Macaca fascicularis: one gene and its partners. The protein of the gene in region 1 purifies or fractionates together with the protein of each later gene. This does not show direct contact. Links are inferred from orthologs where the notes say so. Each region holds a gene or a part of one and is shown in the gene's direction. Other genes may lie near its edges.

Region 1 (3,693 bases):
CGCTGCTCCCGGAGCCCGCTGGGGCCCGGAGCCCCGGCCCTCGCCGCCTCGTCGCCATCAGAACAAAAGCCGAGGCTCAGCCCGGAGCCCGGGCGCCCCGCAGGCCTGGCCCGCGCCCTGCAGCCCGCCGCCCTGCGCTTCGCGGCCGCGCCTTCGGGCCTTCGGCCCTTCGGCCCGAGCACGCTCGGCTCTTTCCGCCACGGCCGGCGCAGGTGGAGGGGGCGGGGCGGGGGCCGTGCGTGGTGACGCCGCGGGGGGGGTGACGCACCGGCGTGCCCCGCCCCCACCCCCTCCCCGTTCAGGCTCTGGAAAGAGAAGAAAAAAAACTTTCTTTTTTTTTTAATTGAGGAATCAACAGCCGCCATCTTGTCGCGGACCCGACCGGGGCTTCGAGCGCGATCTACTCGGCCCCGCCGGTCCCGGGCCCCACAACCGCCCGCGCACCCCGCTCCGCCCGGCCGGCCCGCTCCGCCCGGCCCTCGGCGCCCGCCCCGGCGGCCCCGCTCGCCTCTCGGCTCGGCCTCCCGGAGCCCGGCGGCGGCGGCGGCGGCAGCGGCGGCGGCGGCGGCGGCGGCGGAACGGGGGGTGGGGGGGCCGCGGCGGCGGCGGCGACCCCGCTCGGCGCATTGTTTTTCCTCACGGCGGCGGCGGCGGCGGGCCGCGGGCGGGGAGCGGAGCCCGGAGCCCCCTCGTCGTCGGGCCGCGAGCGAATTCATTAAGTGGGGCGCGGGGGGGGAGCGAGGCGGCGGCGGCGGCGGCACCATGTTCCCGGGGACTGCCTGAGCCGCCCGGCCGGGCGCCGTCGCTGCCAGCCGGGCCCGGGGGGGCGGCCGGGCCGCCGGGGCGCCCCCGCCGCGGAGTGTCGCGCTCGGGAGGCGGGCAGGGGATGAGGGGGCCGCGGCCGGCGGCGGCGGCGGCGGCGGCGGCCGGGGGCGGGCGGTGAGCGCTGCGGGGCGCTGTTGCTGTGGCTGAGATTTGGCCGCCGCCTCCCCCACCCGGCCTGCGCCCTCCCTCTCCTTCGGCGCCCGCCCGCCCGCTCGCGGCCGCGCTCGCTGCTCTCCCTCGCAGCCGGCAGGGCCCCCGACCCCCGTCCGGGCCTTCGCCGGCCCGGCCGTCCGCTCCCGGGGCTGTTTTCGCGAGCAGGTGAAAATGGCCGAGAACTTGCTGGACGGACCGCCCAACCCCAAACGAGCCAAACTCAGCTCGCCCGGCTTCTCGGCGAATGACAGCACAGGTGAGGAGGGGTCCGGGGCGGCGGGGGCCCGGGGCGCGCTGTCACCCCCACCTGAAAGAGAGTGTCCGGGGGTGGTGGTCGCGGATACCTACCGAGCCGGGAGCCCGGAGCAGGCCCCGCAGCCCGTTCCCTTCGCCCCGCGCCGGAGGGTGGAAGTTCGTCGCAGGACTGTCACTGGGCCCGAGTTGGGCAGCACACGCCCGGTGCGCTCGGCCTCCCCGCACCCGATCAGCCCTCCTCGCGGGGACCCGAGTGGCACTCCAGGAGGGAAGAAGTAAAGTGCAGTGTGTGGGTTTGTTTGGTAATGTCCTACGCATCCATCCGCGGCCGTGTCCACACGCGTGGCCGTCCAGAGGAATGACAGCGGAGGGTACCTTTGATGCTTAGAGAAAGCAAGATCGTGGCCAAAGGTAGCGCAGTGTATTTTCTGGATTGGCGACACCTTGATCAGGCTGCAGTCAGAGGATACTCACAGCAGCCGCCAGCTTGCGAGTTAGAACCGAAGTTTCTTGGAATGAGTGAGTTCCTTGGAAAGATGCTTAGTGCTTATTTTCAAAACTCTTTGTTTTTTTTTTTGTTGTTGTTGTTGTTGTTTTTAGTGAACTAGTCATTCCATTTTTCAAAATCCAAACTTCGTTAGCAAGATGTCATTAAAGTTGCTGTGGTGTGTTTCATTTCCATGTGTAACTTCAAAAGAAAGTTAAACAGCAGATTTAAGTTCATTTGGGCTGCCATCTCCATTTGAGTTTGTGTTGCTTTCACAGTGTAGATGTACAAAAAATTATGTTAAGGCATGTAGGAATTCCAATTTTTCAAAAAAATGTAGCAGGATACTGAATAAATCATCTTTTGTTTGTTTCCTCTCATTTAACAGCTTCCCTGGAAACTTTCTTAAGTAATCATTGCTGCTTAAGAGAAGTATTTAGTTTCCTATTCATTCAGTAATTCTGGGTCCTACTGCGCTGGTTCATGGTAACATGAACTAGTTGTATTTCCTCTTTTAGAGCTCTCTCCTTTGCAGCAGAAACTTCTGTGCCGCTGCGAACAATTCCGTCTCCAGCGCAGCTTGCATTTCTCCAGTAGTCTTGCAGTGGCAGCATCTGAAAATCAGTTTCTAATGAATGAGTCCAAATTGAATTACATTGCTGCCTTCAGATTTGCGCTAGACACAGCTGTTCAACTTGTGGAAATAGTTCTGTGACCGACCACTAGCATATTCAAAAAACTGCTATTGCTGTTGAAACAAAACTTGAATTTTGTGGCTTAAGTTTGAATACAATTCCTGGAATCAAGTTATGATAAGAGACATTTAATATTAATGTGGAAGTGAAAAACGATTTTTAAAAATCAATCATAAGGAGATTCTTATCTAGTTAAAATTTCTTAAACAGTGGGGAGGAGTAAATGATGCTCATGGTATGTAAAAATCACTAATAATGTTTTTCTTTTTAGCTGATAAAAGTTGAGTTTGACATTAATCTTATGAAATGAACTTACTGAAGTGAGAAATTTGGAAACAATAGTTTAAATGCCGTTGTACTGCAAAACAGATCTCAGTTGCTTCATTAATCTTGCTGTGTTTGAGTAGTCTTCAGTTCTGTGAGACGTAGGTCATACGAGGCGAGTTCACCTTTGAAGCTTGTCTTCTGAAACTGGTAACCTGGATGGCTTTGTAGCTTTGCTATTGTTGAATGAATTTGTTGTAGATTTTGTCTTAAAAAGGGGGACAATTAGTAACACAAGACTTAACAAAAAGGCTTATCCTACTGTTTACATCCAGCTGTTTCCAAGATGGAGCCCGAAGGATAGCTTTTTCCATAGTAGTTTCCATTATTGGATGATCAGATGCTTAATAACAAGTTGATCAGAAAGGATTTTCCACACTTAACCAGCTTTTCCCTCTTCCTTTCCAGTTTTGATCCTTGTAAGGCACAGGGGCTCTTTTGTGGGACCAAAAGTCAGCTTTAAATGACTCTGATTTAATCCAAAGTAGAAAGTCGACATCATACTTAAGTTGGGTCCTGAGTTACACATTCATCACCATCACACTATTGTGAAAGGGTCTGTTAGTGTGGAGGACCAAGGAAGGGATCATTGTCAAGCACATTAAACAAGGGGCTGGATGCCATGGCTCATGCCTGTAATCCCAGCACTTTGGGAGGGGGAGGCTGGTGGATCAACTTGAAGTCAGGAGTTCGAGAGCAGCCTGGCCAACATGGTAAAACCCCATCTGTACTAAAAATACAAAAAAATAGCCAGGCATGGTGACATGCACCTGTAATTCCAGCTACTTGGGAGGCTGAGGCATGAGAATCGCTTGAACTTGGGAGGCAGAGGTTGTAGTGAGCCGAGATCGCACTGCTGCACTCCAGTCTGGGTGACTGAGTGAGACGCTGTCTCTAAAAAAAACAAGGGACACCTTGTCTGGTGTAACTACTAGTCTAAGAAATTGAGTAATG
Region 2 (3,647 bases), on another chromosome or scaffold:
TTTAGACCTGATGAGGTGAGTGTGGTCGGCCCAGGGCGAGGAGTATGGAACTGAGGCTGGGCTGGCCGCGCTGTGGACGGATTGGGAACCCAGAGGAGCTCGCTGCCATGTGGATTGGCAAAACTCCCCTGACTGTGCTGCGGGGACTTATGGACTCTTTCTCCAGTGTGACTCGTTTGCCAACATTATTGGCCTTTTGTGTCTTCCTTTGCCTGGTGCCAAGTTTGGTGCAGAACCTCAGGCATTGCTGAGGGCGAGGAAATTGTCCTTGGGTTATAAGTGGCTGCTATAATAATAGCGATGATGATGATAATTATAGCAGGGACCTCCCTTGATATTTGAGGGGGTTTTGTTATTGTGCAGGAAATGGAATTTGGATCCCAGAGATGCTCCTAGACTCTGTTCCTTGTGGTCCCTGCAGGATGAATCTCCTCCGGAACAATAGCTGCCTCTCCAAGATGAAGAATTCCATGGCTTCCATGTCTCAGCAGCTCAAGGCCAAGTTGGATTTCTTCAAAACCAGCATCCAGATTGACCTGGAGAAGTACAGCGAGCAAACTGAGTTTGGGATCAGTGAGTGTGCACTTTGCAATGAGTTTAAAGACACCATTTTTTTTTTCTTTTTCTAAGGTTTCTTTTGTCCTATTATAATTGAGTTGCTTATTTCTGTTTCAGTTTTGTGGTGTTTTTATTTTGTTTTGTTTTGTTTTTCCTTCTCAATTTTTTTTTCAGCATCAGATAAACTGCTGCTGGCCTGGAGGGAAATGGAGCAGGCCGTGGAGCTCTGTGGGCGGGTAGGAGACTCATTTGGGGTTTCTGAACTTACCGAGGGGGTGAGGTTTTGCTCCTACTTTTCACTTTCTCATCAAACACTGGGTCGATCTCTGTCAAAAATCAGGTGTTCCTCACCATGCTTTGAACTTGACTGGACCAGCTGGAAAGAGGCTAAGAGTAGCCAGTAAAGGGAGCCCCTCTGTGGCCAAATGCAAGAGTTGCGTGAATGGATGGCGATGGTCCAGATTTAAATAAGAAGCAAGTGTTAGGTTCCCTTGGGGAAAAGCCGAGACCATTTCCTGTTAGGAAGGGCATTGGATGGATGATCAACACCCCCTCTTGTTGAAGGTTTTTGACTAATTTTGTTGGGACGCTAAATCCATAGGAAATAAAAGGTCCAGGCAGAAAGTCTCAGGACAACGTGAATCAGATGTCACCAAAAAACGTTAATTATGAAGGCAAAGGAAATACGTGTGACTAAATGAACGTCACACGAACTGAAGATTGAAGTCAGGCTCTGGGGCTTTTTCCTGGACGAATCCTCTGTTTTCCCCTGTGTGCTTGGGCAAGGATCTTCCCCTGTGTCTCAGTATCGCTTTTTATCAATCAGTACTGATGGGGTGTATATGTGTTTCATGGTGAATATTAACCATAGAAGGGGTGAGTGCTCCTCCCCATCTTGAGACCCATAATCTATGAAATAAAGCAGTCTGGGCCTCCCTGCCCAGTAGCATCGGCATAGACAGATGAAGAGAAGAGAAAGTAATGTGCCTTGGGCATCTTCTGTGTGCCAGGCACCATGCCAGAGGCTTTAAGTACTTCATCTTACTTCACTCCTCAAATAGCCCTGTTAGAAGCCTATTTTATGCAAAAGGAAACTGCAGCTGGGGGTAAGTAACTTGCCAAGGGGTCACATAGCTAGAAAGTGGTGGACCCTAGATGTAAGCGCAGCCATTCTGACCCCACAGTCCACATTCCTTTGAGCCAGTCCATTGAGAGTCCTCAGGCAATGTGGAGGGTCCCCAGGTCTCGCTCCTCCTCAGATCTTGCATCTCAGCATGCTCCTACCACATCAGTTGACATTAGCACAGCTTTTCCATTAGGAGAACGAAGTGAAACTCCTGGTAGAACGGATGATGGCTCTGCAGACGGACATCGTGGACTTACAGAGGAGCCCCATGGGCCGGAAGCAGGGGGGAACATTGGACGACCTGTGAGTACTGACTGGGGGGCCCCTCTGTGCCTAGCACATACAGATAACCCTGGAGCTTCGGTGTGTGTGTCCAGGGCACCCTCAGTGGCTGTGTGGGACCATTCTCTAGAGCATGCTCCCCTGTGGGGTCACCTCCAGCAAATCATCACTGAGCCTCAGTTTCCAAATCTGTTCAGTGGCAAGAAAAGCAGTCTTACCTCACGAAGTTGTAAGGATGAATTCAGGTAACGCATTTGAGACGGAGGCCATAATCTGTAAAGGCTCTAAAATGCAAGCAGCCTCTACCCCTGTATCAGACTCCCCTGATTTGTCCCACCCACCCTGACCCAGGCATAGCTCAGAACAGAAAGTAAGATAGAGAAGTAGAGAAGGAAGAACCTGACAAGGGGGAATTCGGACCTGGAATCCGTTCGTTTGAGTCTTTGTCAGGTATTTGGCATTGACTCCAGGAGGGGAGGAGGGGTCTAGGCAGATCACTCCTACCTGAAGGAGATCACATGTCCTCCTGGCGTGCAGATGGAGGGAACCGGGCAGGCCGGGTCAGCCTCTTGAGGGCTGTGTCACCGTGAGCTCAGCAGTGTTCCCTGATTCTCTCACTAGGATTCTTAGGACAGGAGCTCCAAATGTCAGAACTTTGATTCTGTCTTTTCTCTAATCAACCCTTTATTCTCCTCTAGTTCTTTTATTTGTATTTGTATTATTTAAGAGACAGGGTCTTGCCCTGTTGCCCAGGCAGGAGTGCAGTGGCACAATCATAGCTCACTGCAACCTTGACCTCCCAGGCTCATGCAGTCCTCCCACCTCAGCCTCCCAGGTAACTGGGACTACAGGCGCATGCCACCGTGCTCAGCTAATTTAAAAAAATATATATATTTTTGGCTGGGCACAGTGGCTCACACCTGTAATCTCAGCACTTTGGGAGGCCAAGGTAAGAAGATTGCTTGTGAGCCGAGAAGTTCGAGACCAGCCTGGGCAATGTGGTGAAACTCTATCTCTACCAAAAAAATATAAAAATTAGCCATATTTGACCTCAAATCTAGACAGAACTTCTTTGTATATTTTAGAGAGGAGCAAGCAAGGGAGCTGTACAGGAGACTAAGGGAAAAGCCTCGAGGTAAGTGGGGTTCTGTGTCTGCCTTGGGCTTCTCCTTATCTCATTTATGGGGCATCACTACTCTCTGCTGGCTTCCTTGAGGAACTATGCTACCCTCCCCTCTCCAGACCAGCGAACTGAGGGTGACAGTCAGGAAATGGTACGGCTGCTGCTTCAGGCAATTCAGAGCTTCGAGAAGAAAGTGCGAGTGATCTATACACAGCTCAGGTATGAGCCCCGCCCTTCCTACTCTGGAGGAAGGACTGGGAGATGCAGGCTGGGTGTGAGGCCACCTTCCTCCCTCCTCTCTGATTCACTGGACCTCATGAAGAGACTTTCTGCAGCTGCTGACTGGATGCACAGCTGCCATGGGTTCCATTTTCTCCAGCCCAAATGCCATTAGTTTGTCATGTTTATTCTTTGCAGTAAAACTGTGGTTTGCAAGCAGAAGGCGCTGGAACTGTTGCCCAAGGTGGAAGAGGTGGTGAGCTTAATGAATGAGGATGAGAAGACTGTTGTCCGGCTGCAGGAGAAGCGGCAGAAGGAGCTCTGGAATCTCCTGAAGAT
Region 3 (3,747 bases), on another chromosome or scaffold:
CACAATTTATGAGACTTCTAAGTTCCCTCTAAAGGGTCCGAACACCTACAGTGGTAACAAGTCACTTGGATTTGAATCCTGGCAAGGCAACTTACCATCTGACCTTGGACATTGTGCTGTTCTTAACGTCTCCGTGCCTCGGTTTCCTCATGTGTATGAATAGCATCAACACCTACATCAAAGTTTGCTGTATTAAATTTGATAATATATGCAAAGCATTTAGAAAAGGGCCTAGCTCATAGAAAGCCTTATATAAATATTAACTATCACTTTTTTCCTTTTTTGGGGGGTTGGGGACGGAGTTTCGCTTTTGTTGTCCAGGCTAGAGTGCAATGGCACCATCTCGGCTCACTGCAACCTCCGCCTCCCGGGTTCAAGCGATTCTCCTGCCTCAGCCTCCCAAGTACCTGGGATTAGAGGTATGCGCCACCACGCCCAGCTAATTTTGCATTTTTAGTAGAGACGGGGTTTCTCCATGTTGGTCAGGCTGATCTCAAACTCTCGACCTCAGTTGATTCGCCCGCCTCGGCCTCCCAAAGTGCTGGGATTACAGGCATGAGGTACCGCGTCCGGCCTAGCTATCATTTTTATACAAGTGCTAGGTTTTGGGAGAATGTAATGATGGCTTTTTCTTACTAAATTTTCAGTGGAGGAGGAGGAGAAAGAAAGTAAATAGTTATATGAACACAGTAGAAAGTACAAAGTGGAAAACAAAAAGAGTATCGAACCCAGGTGAGTGGTCCAAACCTCCCCCCAGAAACCTAAGAACCCATAGAAATGGGTGGGAAGCGGAGAAGATCCTCCAGACAGCAGGTGGCGATGTAGCATCCCCCAGAAGGCCCTCTAACAGAAACTAGGAGGACGCGCTACCAAGGTCACGTGTCCCCGGCGTTCACTCGCTCTTCGCTTCACGTGACTCGCATCCTCGCGGGTGATTGGCCTGCGTGCGGCACGTGGGCGGGGGGACCAGGGCGGGGCGGGGTGGGCGGAGGGGAGGGACAGGGGGCGGAGCTGGAGGGGGTGGTTCGGTGTGGGGGCCGTTGGCTCCAGACAAATAAACATGGAGTCCATCTTCCACGAGAAAGTGAGTGTCCGCGTGCGGTGGGGAGCTGTCTGCCGCGCGGTGGCGGGCGTGGAGCGCGGCATCACAGCCTCCCGGAGGGCTGGGTGGGGTCCGAGTCGCCCCCATGCCGATCTCGCCGGGCTAGGGGCGACGCCGCAACCCCCCGCCTCTTCGGCTCGGGGAGGGGAGCATCACCTACGCTCCTACTTCCCCCGCGGCCCCCGCCCTGGGAGCCGGGAGGGAGTATGGGCGGGGCCGGGGGCGTCTCGGGACACGGGAGCGCGGTGGCGCCCAGTGGATTTGCTTCTTCCTTTCTAAGTCACTTTCCATAGCTTTTCGGAGGATTCCTTCACCCCTCCCCAATCCTTCCCTCTCCCTAGGGTCTAGCTACAGTCACCTCTGGGACACCTCCCTCGACCCCTCCTACCCTACTCCTGGCAGAATTAACTTTTCTTTCTCCAGACTGCTCAATTCTATATTGGAGTCTTCCCTACATTTAGATCTTTGAGGTCTTGTTCATGTTTTTTCCCCTGCACCAGGTCCGCGAGCCTCCCGAGGGAGGAGACCTTGGCTCGCCCACTGTAGGGCCTGACACTTAGGAAGTGAAGTAGGAAACCCGTTGTGCCCCTAAACAGGGAAGTCGTCACGAGTTTTTATTACGGGATGTTTGGGTTTGGTTTCTTTTGGTACTCTCATCTTTCCGGAGCAGGCAGCCAGCTTTGTTTTTAGGTATTAGGAGTGGACTGGAATGATTTTGTTGTGGTCTGCCTAGCCTGCTGTCACTTTAACTCTTCAGTGACCATGCACTTGAAGATACTGTTTGTGACATGTGGAGAAACTCCTCGTTTCTCACATGCTATTATCCATCCATTTGTATGTGAGTGAAGCCTTCCCCGGGACAACTTTGGCACATGATATCTTGTTTCATAATAGTATCATGTTTGGAAAGAGTTGCTGGTAAGGCTATTATTTAATAGGAGGAGCAAAGGGTTTTTGTTTTATTAAATGCTTATAAATGATCGTTTATCCCAGACATTTAAAATTCACACACACACAACAAATAAAGCAAAGACAAAAGAATACATTTACCAGATGTAAATCTGTAGTATAAATCTTTTTTTTAATTTTTATTTTAAAGATGGCATCTCATTCTGTCACCCAGGCAGGTGTGCAGTGGAGAGATCATGGCTCACTGCAGCCTTGACTCCCTAGGCACAAGCGATCCTCCCTCCTCCGCCTCCAGAGTAGCTGGGACTACAGGTGTATATCGCCAGGGCCAGCTAATGTTTTTGGAGAGAGAGGGGTCTCGCTGTGTTGCCCAGGCTGGTCTAGAACTCCTGGACTCAGGTGATTCTCCCACCTCAGCCTCTCGAAGTGCTGTGATTACAGGCGTGAGCCACTGTGCCTGGAACAAATTGTTAAGTACAATGCTTTTCATTGTAGAAAACATCTCGGAAACTTTTGAAATAGGCAGATTTACAGTGGGGGAGGAAGGCCTCAGTCGTATAGTTGTCACTGATTTTTTGACTTGATTGACATGATTTATAAATCATAGACAATAGAGATTTAGTTGCTTGGCTGAGTAAAGTGTGTGAAAAATACACATGTACTTTCTTAAAAACATTTTTTTTTTGAGATCGAGTTTTGCTCTTGTCACCCAGGCTAGAGTGCAATGGCGCGATCCTGGCTCACTGCAACCTCTGCCTCCCTGTTCAAGCTATTCTCCTGCCTCAGTCTCCCTAGTAGCTGAGATTACAGGTGCCCACCACCACGCCCAGCTAATTTTTGTATTTTTAGTAGAGACAGGGTTTCACCCTGTTGGCCAGGCTGGTCTCCAACTCCTGACCTCAGGCGATCCACTCGCCTCGGCCTCCCAAAGTGCCGGGATTACAGGCGTGAGCCACTGCACCCGGCCATATTTTTGTTACTAATTTTCAAAGGCTTTGGTGTGGGACCAGATTTCAACATGGAAGGCCTTAAACATGTTCCACACTACTTCCTGAGAATCAGACAAGATTTTTAACAATATTGATTGTTACCTAGTTGGGACGCATTTCTACTGAACCATGGGATCAATAAAAGCTGGGTGCTAGCCTAGCGAAAATCTACTTACCCGAAAGAAGTCCCTCTTAGTCCGGGTGCGGTGGCTCACACCAGCGCTTTGGGAGGCCCAGGTGGGTGGATCACAAGGTCAGGAGTTTGAGACCAGCCTGGCCAACATGGTGAAACCACGTCTCTACTAAAAATACAAAAAATTAGCCAGGTGTGGTGGCAGGTGCCTGTAATCCCAGGTACTCAGGAGGCTGAGTCAGGAGAATAGCTTGAACCCAAGAGGCAGAGGTTGCAGTGAGCTGAGACTGCGCCACTTCACTCCAGCCTGGGCAACAAAGCGAGACTCTGTCTAAAAAAAGAAAAGAAAAGAAAAAAAAAAGAGTCCCTCTGAATTATCAGCATGTGTATAGGCCTACAGATACTTCAGGAATGTATTTACCATTATCATTAACTTGTACGTACATAGCAAGTGAAGATTCAACAATTTAGTTTTTTGGGCATACTCAAGAGTATGCACCTATAACCATATGGCCCATTGTTAATCTCCTATACAGTCCATTCTAGGAATGTTTGGGCTTACTGTGCCATTTTTCAGTTCACCGCCTTCCCCTCTGCAATATACCTTTAACCCT

Evidence for each region.
Region 2: the proteins of CREBBP (region 1) and IKBKB purify together in Homo sapiens (affinity purification with western blotting; 3 studies listed by BioGRID and IntAct, with this or other methods). This does not show direct contact. The link is inferred for Macaca fascicularis from reciprocal best matches to the Homo sapiens genes CREBBP and IKBKB.
Region 3: the proteins of CREBBP (region 1) and ATXN3 purify together in Homo sapiens (affinity purification with western blotting; 3 studies listed by BioGRID). This does not show direct contact. The link is inferred for Macaca fascicularis from reciprocal best matches to the Homo sapiens genes CREBBP and ATXN3.

What each region holds. Positions count from the first base shown.
Region 1 is NC_088394.1:4,656,593-4,660,285, reverse strand, and holds the start of CREBBP (CREB-binding protein), read left to right. Parts: upstream 1-823; 5' UTR 824-1,149; coding exon 1,150-1,234; intron 1,235-3,693. Other genes in the region: uncharacterized protein, read right to left, coding at 1-764. UniProt on the Homo sapiens protein: Acetylates histones, giving a specific tag for transcriptional activation. Mediates acetylation of histone H3 at 'Lys-18' and 'Lys-27' (H3K18ac and H3K27ac, respectively).
Region 2 is NC_088382.1:45,833,582-45,837,228, forward strand, and holds part of IKBKB (inhibitor of nuclear factor kappa-B kinase subunit beta), read left to right. Parts: intron 1-421; coding exon 422-573; intron 574-732; coding exon 733-794; intron 795-1,877; coding exon 1,878-1,987; intron 1,988-3,051; coding exon 3,052-3,101; intron 3,102-3,208; coding exon 3,209-3,308; intron 3,309-3,506; coding exon 3,507-3,647.
Region 3 is NC_088381.1:160,098,707-160,102,453, reverse strand, and holds the start of ATXN3 (ataxin-3), read left to right. Parts: upstream 1-1,019; 5' UTR 1,020-1,060; coding exon 1,061-1,084; intron 1,085-2,147; exon of another isoform or gene 2,148-2,468; intron 2,469-3,176; exon of another isoform or gene 3,177-3,464; intron 3,465-3,747. UniProt on the Homo sapiens protein: Deubiquitinating enzyme involved in protein homeostasis maintenance, transcription, cytoskeleton regulation, myogenesis and degradation of misfolded chaperone substrates.